Oreochromis niloticus: one gene and its partner. The protein of the gene in region 1 interacts with the protein of each later gene in a biochemical or structural test. Links are inferred from orthologs where the notes say so. Each region holds a gene or a part of one and is shown in the gene's direction. Other genes may lie near its edges.

What was found.
Region 2: the proteins of E3 ubiquitin-protein ligase NHLRC1 (region 1) and epm2a form a complex in vitro, tested with the Homo sapiens proteins (3 studies listed by BioGRID, with this or other methods). The link is inferred for Oreochromis niloticus from reciprocal best matches to the Homo sapiens genes NHLRC1 and EPM2A.

What each region holds. Positions count from the first base shown.
Region 1 is NC_031976.2:18,790,137-18,797,375, reverse strand, and holds E3 ubiquitin-protein ligase NHLRC1, read left to right. Parts: upstream 1-4,336; 5' UTR 4,337-4,507; coding exon 4,508-5,746; 3' UTR 5,747-6,610; downstream 6,611-7,239. Other genes in the region: ptdss1a (phosphatidylserine synthase 1), read left to right, coding at 326-425, 596-664, 1,965-2,031, 2,237-2,331; kinesin-like protein KIF13A, read left to right, coding at 7,179-7,233. UniProt on the Homo sapiens protein: E3 ubiquitin-protein ligase. Together with the phosphatase EPM2A/laforin, appears to be involved in the clearance of toxic polyglucosan and protein aggregates via multiple pathways.
Region 2 is NC_031980.2:11,217,567-11,225,774, forward strand, and holds the start of epm2a (laforin), read left to right. Parts: upstream 1-5,167; 5' UTR 5,168-5,394; coding exon 5,395-5,641; intron 5,642-6,981; coding exon 6,982-7,156; intron 7,157-8,208. UniProt on the Homo sapiens protein: Plays an important role in preventing glycogen hyperphosphorylation and the formation of insoluble aggregates, via its activity as glycogen phosphatase, and by promoting the ubiquitination of proteins involved in glycogen metabolism via its interaction with the E3 ubiquitin ligase NHLRC1/malin.

The sequences.
Region 1 (7,239 bases):
GTAGCCCAGGGCAGTGACAGCAGCTCAAGGAGGAGATGTTACCTGAGCTACCAGAGATTATAAACAGTTGTATTCATGCAGGCATTTCACTGCCTCACTCGAGGACTAAGCTGTCAAACAGCTGACCTACATCAGGAATATTTTTATCCAAAAAAGTTCAAATGTGTAGGTCAGTGACCCAAGCTGTGCTCTCAGATAAAAGCCCAAAACTACTGACATGTTTGATTTGGATGGTATTTTTGGTTTGGATTTCTCTTCTTTTTGCTGCCAGTGAGTTAAAATACTGAACTACATGTTTGTTTTGCCCCCTCCTTCTCATTCACAGGGCAATAGCCTTTCTGGAGGCTTTGGCATGCATTAAGTTTGGACAGGACTTGTTCTCAAAAACACAGATCCTCTATGTGATCCTCTGGCTTTTGTGTTTGGTAAGAAAGTCCATTGTGCACTGAAATATGTGTAATTTTTTCTATGCATATGTCTTTATTGTTTAATATGAATATTCTAACATACAAATAAAATATAATTGTGTAAGTTATTTTTTACACATTTTCCATGAATCATTTTACAGTTTATGTTGCCTTCATTCTGTTTTTAGGCCTTCATTACATTCCTGTGCCTGTATGGAATGGTATGGTACGCAGAAACATATGGTCCAAGGGAAAAGGTATGTTTATTGCTTTAGCTTTCATCAGTTTTTCCATTTAACTGCTCTACTGTGGACCTTAAAGCATTTACAAAGAATTTAAGGCCTCACTCACGCAGGCCTACAGACCAGTCGACAATCCCCTGGCAGCCTCTGGAAACTAGTGTAGTCCCTGCACCAAAAACGTACCCAGACTAACTATTCACGGAGCAGTAGTGAAACTTAAAGTGCAATACAACCAGAAACTGAGAACATTCCTCTTCGAACTGAAAGCTGTGCCTTACCACTGCAACCAAAACATTTCAAATGGGACAACTTTTACTTTGAAGGTGTCACACTTTCAGAGTAAAAGTATCCCTGCTCAGCTGGTAGCTAGTAAGTGTTAAGAGGCTATTGGTGCAGCGCCGTATACGACCATTTTCACCCAGCGACCACTAGCAACCACTTGCCAACCGGAACCAGAAAATATAGTTTCCTTAGTGACCTCTGGTTGCCAGGAGTCTGAAGTGTTTTTCCCTTCTGTTGAGGACAGGAATGATAGGAATTAGGAAAAACAAGGTGAATATCCATAAAACCACTTAACACATGAGCAAATTGGAGTTAATTTCAATCCCAACTCGTTTCTTTATTCTCAGCCTATCTAACAAATACAAAAAACGGATTAGTTAGTTATTTAAAAGGTAATTGTGAGATAATGTTCCTGGAGGTCAAGCTCATGGTGCGCCATTGTGGCAGTTCACACTGTTTGGTTGGCGTCCCGCACTTCAGAAGCCAAGAAAATCCATACCCCACACCCACAGTCATTAACAATATAAAAAAGGATTCAAGTTGAACTTTACTCAGATAAAGACCAGCGCCAGGCAACGCTTGGTGGTTAATATTTTTACACCTGGTTGCCTGTGCCCCACAGTTTGAGAGCTACTGCTCTAGTGATTAAACCAAAACCGGATTATAAAGCCATCATTACTGCTAACATTATTATCCCATCGCGTGATTTCTATAGCAGTGTCACACTTCAGTGCCTTTCTGTAAACTCTTGTTACGTCTAAATAAAGCTACAACAAACTGAGATCTGTGCCTGAATGGCAAAAGGCCAAATGTTCTGTGGTGAAGCCAACCATGCTCTGTAGCTAAATAATCATCTACTCTCAAAGATCATTAGTAAATTTTAACATTCAAGGTTTTCCTTGTAGGGGTTGTTATTGGCTTGTTTACAGAGAAAGCTGTACGGGGTCAGTTAGCCGTGATGCATGCACAGTATGGTCCCTGTTCAGTTGCAGGTATGTGTGTGTCATGTGTCTTAAACCTTTTCTCCCCTCAGAGCCTCTCAGAATGTGAAGACAGTAATTTCGCAGAGTTTGCTGACCATGTGTCTGAGGGATTTAAAGGTACACTGACTTCACTGTAATTCACCCAGCACGCCACATTTAAAAAAAATGCACACCACTATTCAGTTGCTGTCTTGTAAAGGGGTGACCTCTAGTGTTTATTATAGTGCTTTACTCATGCATACTCACACATGTATGAGAAAAAACACAGTGCAGTTCCGTCTCTTTATGGGTTCATTTGAAATGAGTGATCTTCATGTTTCAGGAGAAACTGATGTAGACGGCGACAGCCCTAAAGCCAGACAGAGAAAGAAGGACACAGGAAAGACCAAATCCATCAACGGCCTCGACAGCCAGTAGGAGTTGGAGGCGGAGGCTGTTGGGTAACTCCTGTAACCCGAAGTGTGAAAGATTACAGATGGAGAAGAGGGTAAAGCTACGACCGCTTCCTGATGTGACCGAAGCCTAGAAAGCCACCCACCTACAGTAGATGGAGTGCAGACAGCAGAAGTGGAAAAACAGGTCCATGCAGTGTTATTAGGAGTGCACAGTGGCTCATTCTACAGAGATACACACGTTGGTGTGTGCTGTAGTCATAAAAGCTCCTAAACCACTGATCACTTTTTTTTTGTGTGTTTGCTTTTTGGATGAAAGAGTGGGAGAATTTTATTTTGTGCGAGTGTGTGAGAGAAAGGTGTGGCAACAAAAACTGCCATTTCTAAATATAATTGCATGATCATTGTAGCTAGTGAGCTATAATTCACAGTTATCCTATGAAATAGTATCATTGAAGGCTAATGTACAATTGACTGGTTTATACCAACTCTGGTATCAAACCCATTTCAATGTTAAAAGCCATTATGTAGAATTTATCACTTAGTGGAGCGTCTATGTTTATAGCACAAAAGAAGCTAAAGCCTTTTTATATAAATGTCTGTCACTGATGATCTATTTACATCATAGATGTTCACTATTTTACGTTTTTTTAACTTGAATGTGGGCAGGAGTTCAATACCAGACAGCTTTAGCGTGGTAGGATCACCGGCTTTGGTCTGCGTTTGGCCTGTAATGAAGCAAAGCACACAGTTTAAGCACTTTGCAGAAAGTTTATTGAAAATACTGTACATTATGTAATGTTCGAGTATTTTGTGAATCATTGTGACCTTGAGTGATTTTACTCTCCTTGTCCTCCTGTGGCTGCTAATTTTTTTCTTTTCTTTTGTTTTTACTAATAAGAGAACGTAATTATTCAAATTACTGCATGTATTGTCAGGTTTTTCTGTCTGTGTCTGGTTTGGCCTTCTTGTTGCGTATATTGCATTTGCATGGCTGACTCCAATCAAATCAAGTGTTGTAGTAGGAAACCGTTATAAGAGTCTTTGTATTACACCACACAGCAGGATGCCAGTATTGTTATGTACACCTTTTTCACTGTCGTGGTAACATTTTAATTCACCCCTTGTGCCTGTTTGCATGTTTGTTTTGTTTTTTTAATTCCTATCTTCTTTCAGTTTCTATTAAGACTGACTTGTTTTGTGTGTCTTTGATTCTTCTGGCCTTGAGTATTTTATTTGAAGGTTATATTTCCATTTCATGTGTCAGTATCATCTCAGTACAGATATACTATCCCTCATAATCCTTGACAATCCAGACACTGACCTCTCTGGAACAGACCTGGCTCCCGTGCTACATACAGTAGACACTAAATAGGACCTCGTCTGTGGATTTAGATGTCATTTGCCAAAAACAATTCTGCTGAAAACGACCTGTGCTGTTCTTTTCCACTGTGAAACGTATTAAAAGTGTTTTAATTTCCTCTTAATCTTGTTTGGTCATTTTTACTTGCTGTCACATTCCTACTAGCAGGAAGCCCCTCTATGTTTGCGTACTTAACAAGAGAAATTTTCAATGACATTGTTTGACCCCTGAGGAGTGTCCCGCTGCAGCAAAGGAGGGCTGGATTGGCTGATTCAAGCACGGCCCATAACAGATCAGATTTCACTCCGTCTGCACAGCATGAAACTCAGACTGAAATAGCTGCCCCATGCTGACCTACAGCAAGATGTATTTGAAGGTACGGTTGCTGTTCCTTCGGAAATAAACATCATGTAGTCTTAAACATGAGTAGTGGCAGAGCTTCCAGACACACTGTTGCACATTCAAGAGATTGTGCACTGAACTCTAGCCAAACATATTTCTTTCTTTCCTTTTTTTAAAAGTATTTAATATACAGGCTTTTTTCGTCACTGAATTTACTCTGCGATATCTGCAATTTGGGTTCTGTGTTCTGTGACTGTTTTCCAAAGGAGGGCAGCAGAGAGCCTTAGTTATGTGCAAAATACCACGTGACAGTTGAGGCCTAAAAGCCCAGGGCACCAGTGCTTACACAAAATTGTGCTTCATATGCCTCTCTTCACGATTCTCTATTTCACCACGTAAATTGGCACGTGTTCTATTTTGGTTTCCTGAATTTGCTGCTGCCTGCATCAGCTGACTGAACCATCCCACAGGGTTTAAAGAACAGGATATTTCAGTCATGGCCAAGAGTCTCCAACATCGTGGCTGCCTCAGTCCAGAGGGGATAATCAGAGAGATTCAGATCAACCTACTGGAGTGCAAAGTCTGCTTCGAGACGTTTAGCTCTCAGCAAAGGGAGCGCAGACCACAGAACCTTTCCTGTGGCCATGTACTCTGTCTGGAATGCATCACAGCTTTGTCCCACCCTCTCCTGAGGAAGCTGGAGTGCCCTTTCTGTCGACAGTTATGCAGTGTTGACAGCACCTCCCACTGCCAGGTTCTTAGTGACCTAAAGGATCTTCTGTTGTCTCAAAGTCCCTCACCGTCTGCTCCTTCGTGTAGAGCAAAAGCTGGTTTTATCTTTCCCACAGCTCTGACGTGCACAACTCTTCTCCTGCGTACTGCATTTGGTGGGTGGGGGACTCTTATCAACCCAACTGGAATAGCTGTTTTGGGGTCCTCAGGAACAATAGTTGTGGTCCATGATGGAGAGAAGAGAGTGGTAGTGTTCAATCTACAGGGAAAGAAGCTGCACAGCTTTGGGCAAAAAGGAGCAGCCAGTGGGGAGATCTGTTACCCAGTGGACGTGGCAGTGACCCCAGCTGGTCATGTGGTTGTGACTGATGCGGGTGATAAAGCTGTAAAAGTGTTCACGTCCAGGGGGAATCACGTGTTGACAATCAAAGATTCCTTCCAGATGCCCTGGGGCGTGGACACTGACAGCTGTGGACACATCCTGGTCTCTGATGTTGAGGCCGGCACCCTCTCCAAGGTGAGGGTGGACTATAGTAATGGCGTCATTCTAGAGCATCAAACAACCATTTCAGACCTTCAGTGCCCTAAAGCGGTGGCCTACTGTTGCGTGAATGGGAACACTGCAGTGACGGAGCATCTAACTGATGTCACCAATCCAACGGAGAGACACCAACACAGAAGGATCAGGGTGTTTACAAAAGAGTTCCACCTCCTTTACCAGACAGACACTTTCAGCCTGACCCTGCAGTCCACAGTGAGGCTCAGCTTCTCAGGTGTGGCGTTCGACAGAGATGGAGATTTAATTGTGATTGACTCAGACCAGGGGATGATTTGGAGCTTAGGGAAGCTCCAGAGTGGCCCAGTCCTTACTCCTCTTGTGGGAGACCATCTTGTTCGCCCCGTTGGATTAGCGCTACTGAACAACCTTCTCATCACACTGGACAGTGGCGACCATACAGTGAAGATTTATTCTCCCAAATCTGATGCTGGACCTGTGACATAGTTTATGTATGAACAATCCCAAAGTAGCTGTTCAAGTGAGACGAATTAAATAAAGTGAAGTGAAACGCAGCTTAGCACAGGATGAAGTGATGATAGGTTGTATTACATTTTTTTGTTTGAGTTGCCTTCTGTGACTAGTTTTGAAAATACAAGTTTTACTTTAGATAGAGAGTAAAATGTCATTGTGTTACTTTGAAAGTGTCAAAATGAAAAAAAAAAAAGGTTGTATATGGTGAAACCATTTTCAGCAGGACGTCAGGAATGAAATTATGTCTGTTATTGTGTTAATATTGTAGCAGTTGTTGAAAATGATGTTGTATTATTTAATGACGGTGTAATATAGCAATGTGATGATTCTCAGTCTCTGAACTGATCCAAGGCTTTTGAAAAATGAGGCCAAATGAAACTATCTGAGAAAAAAAGGTCCAGCTGCTAACAGCAGACGGTGAGGACATACATAGATGAAGGTGTTGTAGGATTACAAGTAACCAAGTTTAAACGTTATATGCCACAACGACAGATTATATGTTTACTTTTTCCCCTGGATAACAGAACACTTTTTAAATTAGATTATATCACATGTGTTAAAACACAACTTACAGATTTACGCAAATATATATATTAAAAAATAGCTTTTTAATGCAAAATTTTAAGGTGATGGACAAATGGTAAAACTTAAACTTAAAAAAAAAGTAAAAAAAAAAAAGTCCAACATAAATGCTATTGTAAGGGTTAAATTTGGCAGCTTAGGGATATAAGAGTGAAAAACAGACATTATTTTTAGGCTTTACGTCAACAGAAGTGAGGTGGTGGGTCAAAAAATGATTCTGCTAAATATTATAATAAAGTTATATAAACTGTAAAATTTTTAACCCCTTTTCTTGCTTACCAAAAATGCAAATAATTAAACAATTCAGTGTGTATGTGTGTGTGTGAGAGAACTAAGCGCCAATAAGTCATAGTCAAAAATCATGTGATAACAACTGTTTAAAGCTGACTCCAAGCTCCGCACTGCCTCTCAATGCTCACTGATGCATGTGAACTAACTTGTCACACACGCTCACATTTCTCGTTCATTGGTTTCCCCCAATGCGCCGATGCGCCGGCGGGGTGCGTAAATCCTTTCCCCCTCTTTGGCACAGCCTCTCCAGTCTGCCAGAGGATAGCAGTCGTGCTCCCAGTGGAAGATGGCGGTGGGGATGCTGTCTGGGGCTGGAGCTGAGTGCTGGATTTGCACAAGAAGCGAACCCGGATGGATACTAAGACAAAAATGAACGCTTTCCCATCACTTCTCATCGAGGATTGGACTCTTTTGGGATTGTTTAGCTAGATTCTTTTGCCCTTTTTTCTGGCAAAAAGCCGGGCTTTCTTGTCGGAGACTCTGCGTTGATAGCTGGGCGAATAGACAGGGTGGGAGTGAAAAGTGGACGAAAATGTCGGATACAAAGGTAAAAGTTGCAGTGAGAGTTCGGCCCATGAACCGCAGGGGTAAGT
Region 2 (8,208 bases), on another chromosome or scaffold:
AGGACTTTACCCTGATCTTTATTCAAATTTTTACTTTGATAATTACTTTCTATGTGTACAGCTACTGATCCCACACTTCTGGTACACTTTGCACATCAATACTGTGTACAACTATTTTTGGACCTGATGGGACTTCAAGCAATGTGTGGATTCTCTTTTTTTATGCAATATATTTAGAAATTTCAACTAACACCTGATTAGCAACAGAGTTTACTTGGATATGAGGGGATAAAAGAGCTCATGAGACGGGGTCTCTCTTCCTGCAGCTCCCTCTGCCTGCCAGAGAACATCACTGCATGAAGACTGCAGTTGATCCCCAACTTCTACTACGCTGTGGAGCATCATCAACAGGTCAGCATTAAATTAAGAGTATGAAAACTGCTACAGTCTGAACTTTTTTTTCAATCATTATATAGTTAACAACAACAGTTGTCTTTAGGCACTTTTATATTGTAAAGTAGCGAGGGTGAAGTAGAGAAGTATGAACTTGATGAAAGACTAGATTTAGAAAGGGCAATAATATGGTGTCACTCGGTGGGGAAAGAAATAAATGGATCATAAAGACAGCCATAAATGGGGTGGGGTGGTATAGGGTGATGGGCTACAAGAGAAAGTAGACAAAAGGTAATTTGTGACAAATGCATGAGGACTAAAGAAATGGGAGGTGCTCAAGCATATAGACGCATAACTGTTATATTAACTTTAATCAAAAAAGAAAGCTTGGTCTTAAAAGCCATTCAAACCCAAAGCGAGAGCTGGTTCCATAGGAGAGGGATCTAATAGCTAAAAGGTCTGACTGCCATTATTCTTTTGCAAACTCTGGTAAACAAATAAATTCTGGATTTAACTGGAAGCCAATGAGTAGAAGCTAATATGGGAGTCTCGGTGAGTACTCTCAGGGCAGTGTTTTGGATCCGCTAAAGGTTTTTCGGAGCGTTTTTAGGACAGCCTGACTCTGAAGAATTATAATAGAGTAGCAAAGGAGTAGTAAACTACTTTGTCACTCAGAGGCAGGATGGCTTCATTTCAGCAATTCACAGTAATACTGGAGGCCATGTCATTCAGGAAATCCATTCAAGCATTACATAAACATCTACAAATTAATTCATTAATAAACAGTCTTGCACATTGTTGGGAGTGTGGTGATTAATTCTTAATTTAAAAATGCTGCAGTGATGTCAGATTCATTGAAAGTCAAACTGTCATGTTTTTGCCAGCTTTGTGAGGAATATAGTGGATTAATACTATCCGTCAGACGGCGACGTGCAAAAAGACACAGAGCTTCAAAAGAGGATCCACCAGATCCATACTTATAGTAGCATACTTATACTGTTGAGGGAGTGATCAAGTTCATCACAATGCTGATCTTCACAGTGACAAGTCAACTCGCTGCAAACAATAATAGACAGGTTGGGCAATGAAATGCATAAAGTGTTTCAATTAAAACATCTTTTATATACAGGTTGTCAATTTTAGATCACATTTTATAGTAAGCTAAATTTAAAGTCCAGAGATTTCCTGATGATTTCCAGAGGAAGCTGTGTGCACAGCTGTGAAGCTTATTTACTCAACACTTCTTTATCTAGCTTGATTACCACTCCTGGGTGTCCAATGGCTCGCTCTTGCTGTGTGTGCAGACAATTTTGGAGACTCTCCCAAATGTTGGAGAGACAGTGGAGTTTGCAGGAATGGCTCGACATCTCTCTCAGAAGTGCACTAATGTATTAAGTTTTACATTTTATCAATCCATGATGCACAACCCTCACTAGCCCCTCCCCCCAAAATCACCACCTCCAAAGAAAAAAAAGTAAAACAACATATACATATATATATACATATATATATTTTTTTAATCACGGTTCTGGTCACAATTCTTAACTGAAACTCCTTCATCCATGGACACTTATTGCTTATTGTGAAAGCTTATTGCTTTCACTAATAAGCCCAGACATGAAGGTAAGACCAGATGTTTGGTATTTGTACAAACTGAGGTCCCTGATCAAAGGCCAAAACTGTGAAGTAGAGAATGGCCAGATGTAACAAAAAGGTTTTGTAATTCAGGTTTTTAAAGATCATATCACTAAATCGGTTGTCCTTTTTTCATTACTTTACAGGTTCTCGTGGGTCAGTGCGCTGAAGAGCGATTTGATGAGTTTGCCCTAAAGCAAATGATTAAGGAGTTTCAAGCCCAGCTGTACAAACTCAGTGAAGCAATTACAGGAAGAAACTCTCAGCTTGAAGTACCCTCCACATATCTGAACCTGATTAAAATAGAGAACAGCATAACTATTTAAGAAAGGTGTCAGCTGGCAGCACCAGGCTAACCTGCATGGTAGGAGGTTAATTCATACAACGGATGCCTGACAAGGTATTTTAGTACTAGAACAGTTTTTTGGTTGTAACCGAAAAACTTTTAGTGTTTTTATTGAATAGTTACAGGCTTTTACACTTTTTTTAAACCTTACATTCATGTGGAAAGAAGAGCAACAGATTTGTGGAAGGTGGATTATTCTAATGTGGTATTGTCACGGCTGCGGGAGCAGACACGTGGAGTGGTGAGAGAAAGGACCCAAGTGCAGGCATTTGGACCGCAGAGCTTTATTTACAGTGGGGAAAACGAAATACAAGCAAGAGCTAAACATGGCAGTGACTAAACTAAAACAAAACCTAAACTGGGTGAAACTAAAAAATGATACAAAGGAACAAAAGCCTGGGACTAGAAACCCAGGACATGAAACATAAAAACCTGAGACAGAGGAAGACACAGGGCTTAAATACACAGGCAGGACAACGAGCGATTGGGGAACAAGGTGGCAACACAGCCGGGACAAATCAGACATAACAAGACAAAGGAAGCAAAGCAGAATACCCAGACATAAGACAAGGACTTTCAAAGTAAAACAGGAAGCACAAGACATTCGCAGACTCAGAGACACAGACTTGACATGACTGACTGGATATGAAACATAGAACACAGGGAAGACACAGTTACTGAAACCAGGAGCTGGAACTACAAATATAACATGAACAGAAAACCATCAACAAAACCAAAGCCATGAATAACAAATAATCATGGAATATAACTTAAACACAAAAGCCATGACAGGTATAGTGAAAAACATGAATTCTCCAGAGGGATTGTGTTTAGAGTCTCTTGATTATACAAACTGATCCTTGCCACCAATTGCACGCATGTCCATATACTGCGGATGCTCACATTAGAGGAGTTGGTCACTTCTAAAGTGCAGTATTAGAAACACAGTGCATGTACAGCATATAGCATGCATGGTGGCAGTGTACAACAATTATTCAGCTTTAACTGATCAAATGGTGAACTGCATGTACGGATCATAATTTCATCCGGTCAGATGAGTGGCAAATTCTGTGCATGATGGCCTAAATTCTACTGACAAGAGAGCACATCCACAAGTCAAAAATGAGCAGATCTAATAAGGGAAAAACAAGTAATCTAACAAACTGAATACTATGTAAGTGCAGATTTTACACATGCTCAAGAGACGGCTAAAGAAGAATCAATACAGTTTATAAGGTTGACCCTCTTTATTTGAAATCGAAGCTAGTTGTGCAGTCTTAGAGGCAGCTGTTCTCTAGAGGCAGGTAAAGGGCAGGATTCATCTAGAAAAGTGCTGCTTTATTAAAATTCTTCTACTTTAAAAGATGTGTGTAGAAGAACACAAATCACCATTTAGGGTCGAGTCAGGTCCTGAGCATACCTCTGTTAATTAAGTTACTGTGCCGTGTGATTAATGCACACATTGCTGGTGTCGTTTTCTGCTGCAGGATTTGTTCAAGTTTCTGTTATTGCCTAATCTCTGAGTAGAAATGTGATTAAAACCCTGAAGCACTGCAAACCTATCGGCTCACTGCAACACAGAACCTGGCTGCCTAACACGCATCCTTGCTTTTCTTTGGATTCTCCTCCTTCTCGTGCACCACATTACTTCTACTCTGTATAAAACCAGCATTTTGTCATTCTTCTTATTTTTGTTATTATTACTGAGGACCAGAAATATTTGGATCTCAGCCCTATACATGCAGGGTGATTCTGAAGGATTAGAGGACAGAGCCCAAGTTTTGGCATGTGTTTGTTCTGGTAATACCTTCTCTCATTCCAAATAAATGAAAACACCTAATGGCAACAATCACAACCACACCAAACAGCTTAAGATGTGTTTAATTTTTTTTTTTTTTTTTTTTTTTTTACCAGATTAGCTAAATGTAAATATTTTATTTCTTTACTTGGAGAGCAGGTATGGTGGAGCATCACTGTGGTGACCTCTAGAAGCACTACATGTTTAAATGTAAGCATACAGTAAATATCCACCAAAGTTTTGAAGGTCAACTTAATAATTTATGGATTAAAAACTGACAAAAAAACCTGAGAACTTACCATTACCAGTGTGGTGGTTTTGTCTACACATAAAATGTACTATATAAAAATGTTAAATATTGTGTCAAGTTTGACCTCTGACTTGTTCTCGGTCAATAGCTGATCTGAAGGCCAAAGTGATGATAAAGCTATGTAGAGCTATTTAAAACTATGTTTCTCACTGCCAATGTTTGTGCTGACAAACTACAAGCATAGAGGGAATCCTATTCTAAATATTGTTTTTAAATATCACATTACTTTGTGCTTCTTCTTTTTTTACCTGTTTTTCAAGTTCGAATGAGGTCAAACAAATTTTATTTTTAAAGCTGTACTTAAAATTCAAGTGCCACATTTAGAAAATTATACTGGTATCTGGGTTTTCTAAATATCACGTTATAGTTTGCAAAAAAAATCATGTCACATTTGACCTCTGATCTCACTTTCGCACTTCACGTCTGCCTTTCTTTCAAATCTAAAAATCTTTAGTTAAAAGTATTGTCAAGAGAAATATAATGAGCTGCCTACAGTAGTTAGAAATGCACTGTTATATAATATTATATAATAAACTTAAGTTATTAGTGTCCAGTTATTTATTAAGCAATAGATGTTATCCATCTGTCATGCTTCCTTTTTTATTGCACTACAAAAGTACGTAAAAAAAAGAAAGAAAAGAAAATGAATGTATAGAAAATATAATACTTTTCCCTTAAGAGTAGATGCTGCCCAGAGAGTAATGTGTTTTCTGAAGCGCAGTATTTTGAGCTGTCCAGTCTCACGTGGCTTCTGCAAGGTGCCCGATAATCCTGGCAGAGTGGGACCTCATTCTCTTTCTCTTGTCTTTGCTGCAAACTGAACTATCCAACTGCACCCGGTTATTTTTAGGCTACACCATACAGTCACAGCGTCGCGAATGTAACGCAATAGCTGCTATAACATTATAGGCCATAATAACCCATAAGGTCGCCATACCAATCGGCTGAACAGATTTAGGCAAGCCTGCGGTCATGTTGTTTAGATTCGGCGTCATTCTCACTCCGGAGTCCTCGGAGGTCGACGTCTTTGTTTTGGGTTCGCGTGCTGAAATGGGGAACTGGGACCCGAACAGAGCGGTTCGGATGAAAGCCACACAGAAACTCCCGTCACCCGCAGAACCGTGTCTGTGGATCGGTGAGGTGCACCTAGCCGAGCCCCACAGAGACACACTGTGGTTCAAGTTCATCCAAAGAGTCAGAGGCACCTTTATCTGGGAAGGTACCTGTGCACTTCTGGTTTAATGTGCATCACATCTGGTTCACACGTAGACGCTTTTCCAAACGTCTCACAGATTTGCTGTAATTATTCTAAGGTTAGCGGGGAGAGACATAAATATGACTGCGCCATGTTTGGTTGCTATAGTGCAATGTTTTCATAGTGCCACATGATGGCGGTAAGTGACACTAAATGTTCAGTGGCTAACAAATTGCATTGTATCTGCAAACCTAAAAAAGTTTAATATTTCTGAAAAATCCGAAAAAACTATTGAGTCTTTTATTTTAAATTAACAGTTGAAATTCAGCATGTGAATATAACGGTTTACAGTTAGAGTTCAGCATTTATACTTCATCATCTGCACCCAGGAATGAATGCACAGTAATGCAATGCTGGATTCCTCTGAAAGTTTCTTTAACATGCAAGCCATATTTAATTTTATGATATTTTTGATGTAATATAAATGGATAAAAGGATTCTCATTTGAAATTAGTCATATGGTCTTAATGTTGGACACAGGGGCGTAATTTCCAGGGGGTTAGGGGGTTATGACCCCCCCCCCCCCAATAATCAGACCCAACCAATATACCCCCCCCCCCCCCCCCCCAATAAAATTATGAATTATCTTGCATAAATAGGCTGTTGATTTTCTTTACTCGTTTCAGGTATTACCAGCAAAATAGTTGCATGTTTAATCATCTAGGAATCTATCTATTTATTTAGACAGAGATCTTGACCCACCCAATGTTCAGCACAAAGTTACGCCAATGGTTGGACAGTTTATAACAAGGGTGTCAAACATAAGGCCCCGGGGCCAGAATCAGCCCGGTGAATACTCCAATCTGCCCCACTGGATAGCTTTAGAATATAAGAAGCAGGGCGTAAATTTTTGACTTTTTTTTTCTATCCTTATAAGTTTTACAACTTCTCCTGTTGATAAAGAATTCCCCCCCCAGTGGCTATTTATAGTACATCACAGAAATTAAGTTATTTAACAGTTAAATAACTGAAAAGTGCCTGTTTTTTGTTTGTTTGTTTACAATCTACTATAGAAATGTATGTTTTTTACAATGGTCCCAGAAAACTGAAACTCATTTCTATTTTTATGTAATTTGACATATTTTTGTCATACAGTTTAAATCATGCTGACACATTTCTTTTTCATTTACTACAACACCATTTCTTTATCATGTAGAAAAACTGAGAAATACTGTTGAAATCTGTTTCATATTTCAAGACATCTCAGCTAAACTTTACACTGGGCCACATGTGACACACTGTTGAAAATGAGTTTGACGTCCCTGATTTATGTGCATTAACCTGCTTGTCATCTTTGTCACCAGGAAGCGGGCCAAGCCATGACAGATGGTGTACATATGATGATAAGAATGTGGTGGACGGCGTGTATTGCCACCCGATCGGCCACTGGATAGAAGAAACAGGGCACACAGATGAGATGAGGCACACCACCAACTTTTATTTCAGTGTGGCTGGTCAGAAGGCCATGCATTTCTCCAGGTAATACAGTACATATACATGCTTTCTGCATGATGTTCTAATCAAGGGAGCCTTAATATAAGATAATTTGCAGTGTTGTGCGTTCGTACACTTCTCACAATTTCGGTAAAGAAAGTTTTTTGCACTTTTACTAAGTAATTCTTTGATGATCACAGTTCAGTGGGTTAGGAAAGGCTGGTTTTATTTTATTTTATTTTATTTATTTATTTTGGTGATTGATGTTTGTGACAGAAGGATAGCAGCGAGACTGAAAGGGAACATTTACAAGATGGTAGTGAGACCTGCTGTGATGTATGGTTTAGAGATGGTCGCACTGACAAATTGACAGGAGGCCAAGCTGGAGGTGGCAAAGATGAAGATACTAAGATTTTCATTAAGAGTGACCAGGATGGACAGAAGTGGAAATCAGTATATCAGAGGGTCAGCTCTGGTTAAGCAGTTTGAACACAAAGTTAGAGAGGCAAGGCTGAGGTGGTTTGGACGTGAGCAGACGAGGGATAGTGGACAAAGAATGGTGAATATGGGGCTGCCAAACTGACCACAGATGTTGAAGTAAAGGTGAAGGATGCTAGCAATAAGGTCAGATGGACACAATTGGTCCATCTGGAGGAACTATTACCCAGTAATGTATCTAAATGTTAATTATTAAGCAAGAAGCTAATAAATAGCTCTTTAATCACCATTTTAAAACACATTTCTTTTACTCTGTGTTGCATCTTTTCTCTATAATTGTTACATCTGAGAAATCAACTGTGGCAGCTTTGAAATTAATAATAAATTTTATTTGTAAAGCACAAAAATGGGCATTTCTATTAAAATAACCCACTTGACTCAAGTGCAACATCAAACTAAGATTAAGAAGCAATGTGATTCCATTGTAATTATATCGTTAACATAGAAATTAACGATATAAGTTAAGCTAAGAATGACAAAAAATCTGAAATCTACATTAGAAGATGGTCAAACAAGATTTTAAAAAAACAAGCCTTACAATATAAATGGAACAGTGATTTAAAGAAGCCACAGATGAGGCGATGCGTATTTCCTCAGAC